3 linked regions of the Drosophila melanogaster genome follow. The protein of the gene in region 1 interacts with the protein of each later gene in a pairwise test. Each region holds a gene or a part of one and is shown on either strand. Other genes may lie near its edges. The genes, in order: Lcp65Ag2, CG16978 and CG2082.

Region 1 (3,257 bases):
ACAGTCAATTGATAGACAGAATGACGCCTTACCTTGCCATCACCTTTGAATTCTCAAATCTTATTGGTTAATTAAGCTAATCGTGAACATGTTTGTTTGAAACAAACAGATAGAACGGTGAAAATTTGTATAAAAAACAGTACACGATCACCATTTGCTATATACATATAAACTCAGGTTTAAACGATGTCTTCTAGTCGAGATGCATAAAGTTCTGTATTCGAACTTTTTATTATTGTGCATTGTGATTTTGCCATTGTCATTTCTCATATTATCATCTAATGTTTGAATAAGTAAAGCCTCAGCAAATGCTTTGTGTACACTACTATTGGTATATACATTAATTATTAATAGAAAATATCAATCAGCAATCCAACAAGCATGGAATATTCTACATATCAGAGTATTCTATATCAAATATCAGAGTATTTTACAAACATTTAATCGTGCAGCGGTCACGTATACACGCTGTGACCAGTTTCTATTCTTCGAATATCTATAATCAGTCGGTTCTTTTTCGACTACGACCTTCCCCATATGTTAATCAAAAGCTAATTGTATTCAAAACTTAATTTCGACTTCTTCTGAAAAATAAAATAATTATGAATTTTATGAAAACAAACACACATAAGTTCAGGTAATTAAATTCCTTTAATATTTAACAAGTGGTGCTGGTTGACTTAGTTCCCATCCTTTGAAAACAGGGATAGGATTGGTTTGGTAATGTTTGGGGCTATTAACAAGGAGTTGGATAGTATGGCTTTAAAATTGCTAAAGGTCAAAGCAATTTCACTTAGGCCACGGGGGCAACGGGCAGATGAGCACCCTGGGGCTGGAATCCGTTCTTATCGGCGATGTAGTTGACTTGGTAGGTCTGGCCATCATCAGCAATGAAGCGGTAGGATCCACTCACAGAGATAGCCTCGTTCTCAGTTCCAATGTCGTTCAGCTGACCTACAGCTTGAGCAGCCTGTCCATCGGAGGTTTCCCAGCTAAGAAGGAAGTCAGTGTCAGCTAGGTATCCTTTTGGGTCATTTCTCATAGGCAACTTACTCGTATTTGAAGCTTTCGGGTCCAACGTCGGATTCAGAGCGCACGATTGTGGGTTCCTCAGCGGCAGGAGCAGCCAGAGCCACGGCGAAGAGGGCGACGAAGACAATCAGGAATTTCATGGTGATTGTTGTTTGGTGTTTTGATCTGCGGTTCTCGAACAGTTCGCGACGAATGATGCCCTCTGATGGTTGTACTCCCTTTATATAGATGGATGGACAAACTTTGACGACCGAGCCCAACGCTGCCAAACTAGTCAAACTTGTAGTGTATAAAGCAAAATGTGATAAATGTGTGAAATTGAATTCGGCCTAAAGCTGAATCGTTAAAAGCCCTATACGATATGTAAATCGGACATCTTCATCTATATAGTTTGCATAGTTTCGCATTCCTTTTTCAGCTGTCTTCTCGTAGTTTCTATTTAACTGGAGCTAAAAAAACATAAGAAGTCATGGCAAATGCATTAAGTTTAACTAATAGCAGCTAAAAAAAAGTGCCCAGAACTGACAAAAACAAAAAGAGTCAACAACAAAAATAAATGTTTTTACTTGGACTCATATATTTTATGCTGATAAGCACGCCTAACCTTTTTAAAAACGTGTTGATAATTTTTTCACATTTTTATTAGTCTTGTTTCTATCGATTTGCAAAAAAAAAACTTTTTGCCACGCCCAGTCTAGCTCCCTACAACCGCCAAAACTACCACGCCCACATTTTCGAACCATTTTTCGATATTTTTCATACTTTTATTAGTCTTGTAAATTTCTATTGATTTGCGAAAAACCTTTTTGCCACGCCTACTTTAACGCCCTAAAGCAGCCGAGTCTGTCACGCCCACATTTTAAACAATTTTTAAATTTTTTCTCATTTTATTTCATAATATCTATCGGTATCATAGAAAAATTATGAAATTTCGCGTTCGCATTCACACCAGCTGAGTAAAGAGTATCCGATAGTCGGGGAACTCCACTAAGCATTCTCTCTTGTTTTAGATAACAGCTTATCATATATGATGAACTGTTGTTATGTCAGGTTTAGTTCTCAATATTATTGATTGATTAATCTAAACACAGTTCTCAAAAGTCTATAACTTCTATTACTTATAACTTATAACTTCTATATCACAATAAAACTATAGCACTTTGAATATTGTTTTTAAAATAGACCATTGGGAAAAGCTATATCTTAAAAAGTATATTTATATTTTACGTAAATTATCTTATGTTTATAGATAAGTGATCAATGATTTCCTGCTACAATTAATTCCCATTTAAAACAAATTACTTCATGTAATAATTTTTTCTTTAATAACACTTTAGGCTTATTGATTTAGATTCTGTTCTCCTTGATAAGAACGGTAATAAAGGTTTTCTATTTCCTGTTAACCGACATTAAAAAGGAACTAGTTAAAAATGTTGAAAAACTTATGCCACGGGGGCAACGGGCAGATGAGCACCCTGGGGCTGGAATCCGTTCTTATCGGCGATGTAGTTGACTTGGTAGGTCTGGCCATCATCAGCAATGAAGCGGTAGGATCCACTCACAGAGATAGCCTCGTTCTCAGTTCCAATGTCGTTCAGCTGACCTACAGCTTGAGCAGCCTGTCCATCGGAGGTTTCCCAGCTAAGAAGGAAGTCAGTGTCAGCTAGGTATCCTTTTGGGTCATTTCTCATAGGCAACTTACTCGTATTTGAAGCTTTCGGGTCCAACGTCGGATTCAGAGCGCACGATTGTGGGTTCCTCAGCGGCAGGAGCAGCCAGAGCCACGGCGAAGAGGGCGACGAAGACAATCAGGAATTTCATGGTGATTGTTGTTTGGTGCTTAGATCTGCGGCTATCGAACAGTTCGCGACGAATGATGCTCTCTGTTGGCCAGGGCGCGTCTTAAATAGTTGGACAACCTCTCGATTATGCTGAACGCATCCGAATTAGTCAAAACATAATGTGAAAAATGTATATTATTGAGTACCAGCTATCTCTGAATGGCTTAAAACCTAACACAAAATGCAAATCAACAAGTTTAGGCAAGTTGTTCAAATTGGTTTCACTAACTCAGTTGTTACTAGCAAAAATACTCGGCTGATATTAATAACCACATGAGAAACAAGGAAAAATTATCAATAGATGGCAATCTCACAAGCAGAATCTGAAAGCGGCTGGATAAATCGGCGGGACAGTTGGCGGGACAGTTGGCGTGAGATTCTGCG
Region 2 (2,642 bases), on another chromosome or scaffold:
CATTGCCACTGTTATCCAACGATTCCAGTAGCTTCAGAGTCCTATCGTCATCAGAACTGTGAACACTATCGCTCCAGTCCAAGTTGCCACCTGAAGATCGTGTTCTTCCTCCTTCGCCACCGAGGTTTATATTCTGAAATATACCCGATGCACCGATCGCGGTATAGATTAATCCAAACAGCACCAGCAGTCGGAGAATGGATTGCATTTTTCTTTCGATTAGCTCTGGCTACAGTTGACTGAATGTCAGTCGGCTCTTGAGCTGGGCTTTTATAGCCTTGCCCTGGGTTATCAGCAGTTCTAAGTGGTTGGTTTAAAGGTGATATGTATACTTTTAGACAGAGGTGAGTGCGGGAAATTCCAGCTTAACAGCAACACAGCTTACCACAAGCTTAATTGATATACTAAACGAGCTATTAAATTCAATCTATGACTAGTATTTAATGCGTACTTAAAATCGAAATTGCGGAGTAGGCAACATTCATTATCAAAAAATGAAGATCTCTTGATTCTCTCTTGATTGATTTCATTTTAAAATTTCTAAAAACTTTCTTTTATTTCCCTTAATAATTATTATTGAAGAACTAGATTATTTACAGACAATAGGATAGCATGACTTAGCATTACAGCACTACTAAATAATTCCATATTAAGTAGCCGGTTCGGTGGTAATATCCATAAAATCCAAAGTCGTCTCATCGTCATCAAGACTTGGATAGTCAGTTGAGTTCTCATGAGCTGCATCGTTCTCCTGCCAGCGTCTGATCAGCTCGTCCATTGCATTCATGAACTCTTCGGCACTGTTGTATCCACTGCCAGATTCCTCCAAAGCATCATTGGTACCTTCCGGATCTTCAATAAGGTCGTGCGGATGGCCGGCAATTAGAGCAGCACAAATGATTCCGAATAGGAGAAGCAATGATATGATGCGGCTCATCATGCTGATCAATGCACCGCCGGCAACTGCATAGCCAGATGCAATTTCTTTCGTTTTTATATGGATCGTGTCGGTCAGTAATAAGTTCAATGGAATTCTGGAAAATCCAGTCTGGGCTAAGCCCAAGTGGCAAGCTGCTTCGATTTCCTCATTCATATTTATGCGTTGGGCGGTACTAGAGTCCCCTCTGAATCATCGCAGACCCAGCAAGAGCAAGCATTGCGCATACGACACGTTGCCACTTGCGGATCAACAGTCATGCAAATAAGTCTATGATTAATTCCAAATAATTGCTATGTCTGTTGAGAAAATTCTCGGCCATGCCAATCATCTGTCAGTTACTAGAGTTGTGTTAGTTAGCTGGGTAGTCAGAAAATGTACTCTAAATAAGGGATTATAAACTTAGCAAAGCGACTGTATTTCATCTTTCCTTGTAGGCCGATGTGAGTGCTGCCGGCAACCCTTAAATGACTTGGCTGCCAGCATCGAGCACTTTACTCCGCTTCGTTGCCTCAATCCTTCGTTGGCTCCTCCGGCACTTTATTCAATTTTCCAAAGCGCGCGCACTCAGCTGCCAGTACAACCTCACTTTGCCACCCCAAAAGACGGGAGCCCATCCACGAAAACCTGTGGTAAAAACATGCAATCTACTCACGAGGCTAATGCCCTTTTATGGCATTGGAGTGTGCCGCATCAGCAAAACGGTGCTGAATCGTTGCTGCTGTAGCTGCAGCATTCAACCATCTAACCACCATGCGAACAACACCATTAGATGGGCCACCAGACTCGATTCACGGGGGCTGCAGCTCATTATCCTCCGGGGAAGCAGACGCCCGCCCATTCACCGAATTGCTGGTGGACTTGTCTGCAAATATGTCGCTCATTTGCATCGCCATCATTGGAGTCTAAGACTGCGCCATTGAAATCAAAGTAAGCTGTTACACGGATCGTTTTTAGTCATTTCTAAAACGTTTCAGAAAATTCTTTATATAATATAAAAACTCTGCTGGCAACTGAAATAATAACCACAAATATGTTTTTAATTATTTTAATATCCTCAACTTCAATTCTATAATTAATGTATATTTTAAAAAATTTCAAACTTTTTCTGATGCTTTTGTATATTATGTCGACTTGCTAGCAAATGTCAGTCATTTAAAAATCGCCGCATACCAGCGGCGCAACAAATCAAAGTTGGTTTTGAGTTTTGTTTAGTGGTTTTTAAGCCGACATGAATACCCACTTCTAGGTGTATAGAACCTTAGCAAGTGCCATTAAAAAGATACAACTGAAATAGCCCAGGCACTCCGGCATAAAAGTACGACAGTCAGTCAAATTAACATTTCAGTCACACAATGACCTTCACCTAGAAGCCATCAAAGCGTACCCAAACGACGGCCCAGCCCTAGCCCCAAATCCCCTGGCTTCACCGGAGTCCAAAGCCAAAACCAACTTCAACGCAACGCGACCAAATAACATAAAAACCAAAGTCAATCAAAAAAAAGAGGAGGAAAATAAATATTTTTCAGCCAATGTCTAAATACCCTTTTCGAAGCTTCAATGATCAATATCATTGATAATACTGAAGTTGTAAAAATAACTCGATTTTAATTATGACCAAAAATGACATCTAATCGTTTAAATTTTCTTCATATATACCTTAAGCTTGTGGGTATATTTTTCAGTGTTACAAACCTCTTTCAAA
Region 3 (4,809 bases), on another chromosome or scaffold:
TGGATTGAATTCTGCAGGTGCATTGTGCAGGCCACATAATTGATATGATATTTAATTTCCCAGCTGATTTGGCACAGCAAATCCTGCTAATGTACACAAATTCGAGTCTGTATCCATAGTAATCATCGGTGGACTGTGCCATTGTGCAGTGCATTATAATTGGGACATAGTTACATATTTATTCTGCCCTAGTAGTCCGATTCAAAGATTGGTGGCAGGTGGATTTTCGGAGACTAAAACATTCAGTTGCCATATGTAGATGTGAACCATTTAATGGCTCTTCTAGACCAAGTAGAATTTGCCTATCTAGTTGAAATGCAATTAAATCCAGAGCGAAAAGTCACAGTCAGCATTTTGGAATTGGAATCGTTTTGACTTCTCGTGCAGGACCTTTTTGCCAGGCATTATCTAAGAGGAGCACAAGTTGGCCGCACTTTGACGTATACTTGATGGGATTTTTATGCCCCGACACTTTTCCAACAGCCTGCGGATGCCGTTATGAGGGCGGTGAAAATCTGGGTAAAAGTGTTTGAATTTATGGAAAACCTTGCAGGGGGAGGGGTGGGGGTCGGTTGCATAAAGGCAAAAGCCCCCAAGTGATGCGAAAAGTTGTGCAAACAAAATTCCAGCACACTTTTCTGGCGAAGCGACCGCATTGCCAGGGAATTTTTAATAGACACAAACAAATCACGCGGGCATGTAGGCCGGTGCTTAAAGCCACCAATTAAATGTTCTTTAAGTTTGCGCCCGCAGCCGCAGGGGGCAACGGGGCGTATGAGCAACCTTGCCTTGCAAACTTTGACACTTTGCCGGTGGCAAAGTTCTTACGCCACCGTTTCCCACTCACTTAACAATGCATAGAGGAAAAAATATGAAAAAAAAATTGAAATAAAAGGAGAAACGCGTGTTTTTCGATGCCTTCGAAGTCAACAAGTTTTCGTCTTGTGGACAGGGGACACGCCAGATGCTCCGGCGAAAACAAACTCGGAGGATGAAGAAACTTGGCTGGGCGGAACAAAGAACGCAAACTTGACCGAAAAGGACTTATATCCTGAAGTGTGAGTGTGGGCCAGCACAAATTATGGGAAGTTTCTTCAAGGCGGCCAATGGAAGACCCGCGGGCAGAATGTCGAAGGAAAATGGAAAAAGTCGTGGGAATAGTGGTATAGGTCTGGCCCGGTCTGCAGTATCATGTATAATGCATACCCCTATATGGACAGCCGACTCCCCATTATGCTTTTCCCTAGTTAAATTCCATCGCATTCAGATTCCGCTTGAGGGGATGAGCGAGCCCTGCGGAAAACTGGGAAACAAAGCGAGTCGGACAGGAATACAGCCATATATCGCAGAGATTTACTCCAGCAAAGCCCTTTAGTCAGCATATTTGGATTGAGATTGCAATGCAGGACAAGAGGGTGTGCACCATGTGGTCGGGGTGGAAGTGGCGCAGCTCACATTGTGGTCAGGATTTAATGAGCTCAGTCGAAAAGGAAAATGGGGAAATTATGAGCCAGCCACGAGGGCCAAAAGCGAATAAGTGAAAAAATGCTACATAGCAAATATTTATAAAGATTTAATTTTTATATTCCAGTTATTAGTTTTCTCCGCAAATTATCAAATAACATGTAGCATTTCAACAATAAATTAACCATATTTCAATGAAGTGGGTGCATTCACTTTAACTTTCAACTTGGATATGTTCCTTTATTTCCGTTTAGAGTCCGCACCACTTTGTCGCCATATAATTAGCTGCCTAATAAAAGAGGGAAATAGCAGGCCAATAAGACCGAACGAACACCATAATTTTGCCCATTTGAGCACCTAGATTCGTTTTGGCCCACTCTACGCAGTTGCTGTGTGCCAGATGCGACCGCAAATGGCACGTAAAAAGAAACATGCAGTTCCAGGCTAATGGTTGAGTCGCCCCCATTCCAATAGCCACATCAACAGGACCACACAAAGAGTCGCACAAACAACGACATGCAGAACGACAATTATGCAATTTTTATGAGGCGCAAGACAGAAAGTATGCTATGCCCTTTGAGCCCAGTTCACTGGGCACCGAGGGCCAAAAAAATAAAAAGCAAACAGCACCCAACTACAAAAGGTAACCCCGTGCCAAAAGGGGAATTCGAGGTCACCAGCATATGTTTCTACAATATATTCTGTATTCTGTTTTCTCTATTCGATCGCGGTGGCTTAGTCTGGCTTAGCATTTCGCGCTCACCTTTTTTAATTGAAGGAAGTAAAGGGGATGAATTTTAGGTAGACTAATTCCACAAAGCCCTCGAACTGTCACGAAATTAGTTGATTACATTTTCAACACCTTACGTTTTTTTGATAGTATAATTTTCCATTTACGTGCTATTTAGCCCTTTTCATGTGGAAGAAAAACTAATAGCTTTTTCGTGGTACAAGTGCTCAGAAATATTTCATAATTTCTTAATTTAGGTAGGTTTTTAAATATTATTCAGAACAACTTGGTCTTATAGCAAACTAATTCACTCGTCTGCAATTTCATCACTAATTTCCGTGCAAATATTTATCCCGACTTTTTTGAAAGATTATACCACTCAGACACTTGAGATGTTAACAGAAGTAGTCGCTCGCACTTGCAGCTCGGCGTGTTACGAATATTACGTATACGCACAGAGAGAATTCTAGAAAAGCGCATTAACGCACTTGACGGACGGGAGTGATGTGGAACATGATATTATGGTGTTCTGATGCTCTGCATCCCAAATCAGCCAGGATGCACTTTTCGAAAAGCTGTCCTCCTGGCGGTAAACTGCTATGTCGGAACTCACGCTAATCTTCTCGGGGGCAGCAGCTGCTGAGGATGAGCCGGCGCCGTGCTTGGGGGTTCCCGGCTTCGACATGGTGTGGGATTCGGGCGACGGTAGCTTCACTTCACTGGGTTGCTCAAAGGAACTGCGGGACACACAAGCGTGGCTCGAACGGGGCTCTATCAGGCGCACAGCAGCACTCGAGGATGGAAACCGAAATCGGATGCGAATCGGGCGGAACCGCGTTTCTGAACGAATGCGCAATCTTCGAACGCCTGGCGACGACTGGGAAAACTGGCTTATCATGGGAAAATGCTACGCCATCGCCATCGCCGGCGTGAAAAGCCGATCTTTTCCGAGGCGAAACGAAGCTGAGCGAAACGGGGAGCAAAACAAACTGATGATGAGTGAAATGGCCAAGTGAAATCGCCTTCTGCCCACTCGCTCCCCCTCTACCGTTGTCTCTCTCGCTCTCGCAGTGATGCTGCCGGGGAAAAAGAGGCGGTTGGGGGTGGGCCAAGTGTTGAAATGTTGCCGTAGGGCAGTTTGTTGGGAAGGTGTTGCACAGAGCGTGGCCAGATGGTTGCCCACCAACTACGCATTACGAAATTCGACTCCCAACTGAGTTTTGTGTTGAAAAGTATTAAATTTATATCACATTTATATCACATTTAGATATTGTGTTTCTGGTCCTTTGACTTTGTATGCGTCAATAGTAGTTTCTGGAATCTTCAATGCATTACGATTACTTAAAATATGCATCTAGACAAATATGCTACCTATAAAACCTAGCTAAATACAGCTTATGAACTATTTATTTGTTTGTGGTGTAATTTTATAGTATTTTTAGCTTTGGCAAAGAGTGATTCTAGATACCAACCAGAAAATATAAATATTTCTCATTCTCATTTGTTTACGTCAAGCAATCCCAAATATTTCAATTACCTCTAAAGAACGTAATTGCAGTTTAAAATTCAAGGGAACATTCACATATACGTTTCTTTCCATCTGGCAACGCTCGCACTGCAACATGCACGCACACACGCGCACCTACAGCTTCTGCCGAGAAAATTCCGTTGCCTACTTTTGGGCGCGCTTAGTTTGGCGCCCACTCACGTTCGTCGCTGTAAGAGTGTGTGTGTGTGTTTCTGCTGGCCTGCGTTTGTGTGGGTGTCTTGCGTGGGTTTATGTAAAAATCCTTTTTGTCTTACTTTGTTTTCGGTGGCATTGTTGAGCAGACTCTTTATTGTCGGCGGGCTCTCGCCTTTGCAGCCCTTCTTCTCTTGTTGCTCTAAGCCTTTTTGGCCTTTTTGTTTTGATGTGCTAATTTGTCAGCGCGCGGGAAATGCGCAAATCCGTCTCCCCGGACGACCCGGGCACCCCAATTCCGCCCACTTCTCTGGCGAAATGCGCATTAGAAATATGCGTGTCCTAGGTCAAGCCGGCTGCGGTTATGCCACGAGGGGCTGTGCCTGTGGGTGGGGGCGTGGCCGCCGGGTCGAAATTTCTGATATGGATATGGAAAAAGGGTCACAGAGCATAGGTGCAGAGGTGCGGTGCGGCCGGTACGGTGATATGATGGAATGGATTACTATTATGTGCTGACATCGAAGGCCATCCCCTTCGCAACTACCGATGATGCAGCTCGAAAATGCTGGCTGGCCAAAGTGAAAGTAATTTAAAGTTGGATGAGAAAAGCGCAAAATGTTGAAGCCAATTAGGGGTAAACCAAAAATATTGGATGAACTGAAGGCTTGGATACTTGATACTCCATGCGATTTTAAATTCTTTCGATTTACAAGAGCACAGAAAGAAAAACCGTTGAAGATATTTTAAAAATTTCAAAAGGTTGTTTCATTTCAGTTAAATGAACCATATTAAATGTATGTTTTACGAGAGCAATTCGCTGATCTTCTCAAAATTTGCATGCATTTCCGCCAAGGCCATAAGCAGATATGTGTCATAATTTTTTGTGTTTCAATTTCGACACGTGCTTTAATTAAACAAATGGGGATGATGATGA

Evidence for each region.
Region 2: the proteins of Lcp65Ag2 (region 1) and CG16978 interact in a two-hybrid assay, tested with the Drosophila melanogaster proteins (one large-scale study listed by BioGRID).
Region 3: the proteins of Lcp65Ag2 (region 1) and CG2082 interact in a two-hybrid assay, tested with the Drosophila melanogaster proteins (one large-scale study listed by BioGRID).

The regions. Positions count from the first base shown.
Region 1 is NT_037436.4:6,132,361-6,135,617, forward strand, and holds Lcp65Ag2 (Lcp65Ag2), read right to left. Parts: upstream 1,234-3,257; 5' UTR 1,173-1,233; coding exon 1,054-1,172; intron 993-1,053; coding exon 794-992; 3' UTR 630-793; downstream 1-629. Other genes in the region: Lcp65Ag1, read right to left, coding at 2,475-2,673, 2,735-2,853. UniProt on the Drosophila melanogaster protein: Component of the cuticle of the larva.
Region 2 is NT_033779.5:13,142,658-13,145,299, forward strand, and holds CG16978 (uncharacterized protein), read right to left. Parts: upstream 966-2,642; 5' UTR 941-965; coding exon 650-940; 3' UTR 557-649; downstream 1-556. Other genes in the region: CG9928 (uncharacterized protein), read right to left, coding at 1-208.
Region 3 is NT_033777.3:5,768,823-5,773,631, forward strand, and holds the start of CG2082 (uncharacterized protein), read right to left. Parts: upstream 3,077-4,809; 5' UTR 2,880-3,076; coding exon 2,808-2,879; intron 1-2,807.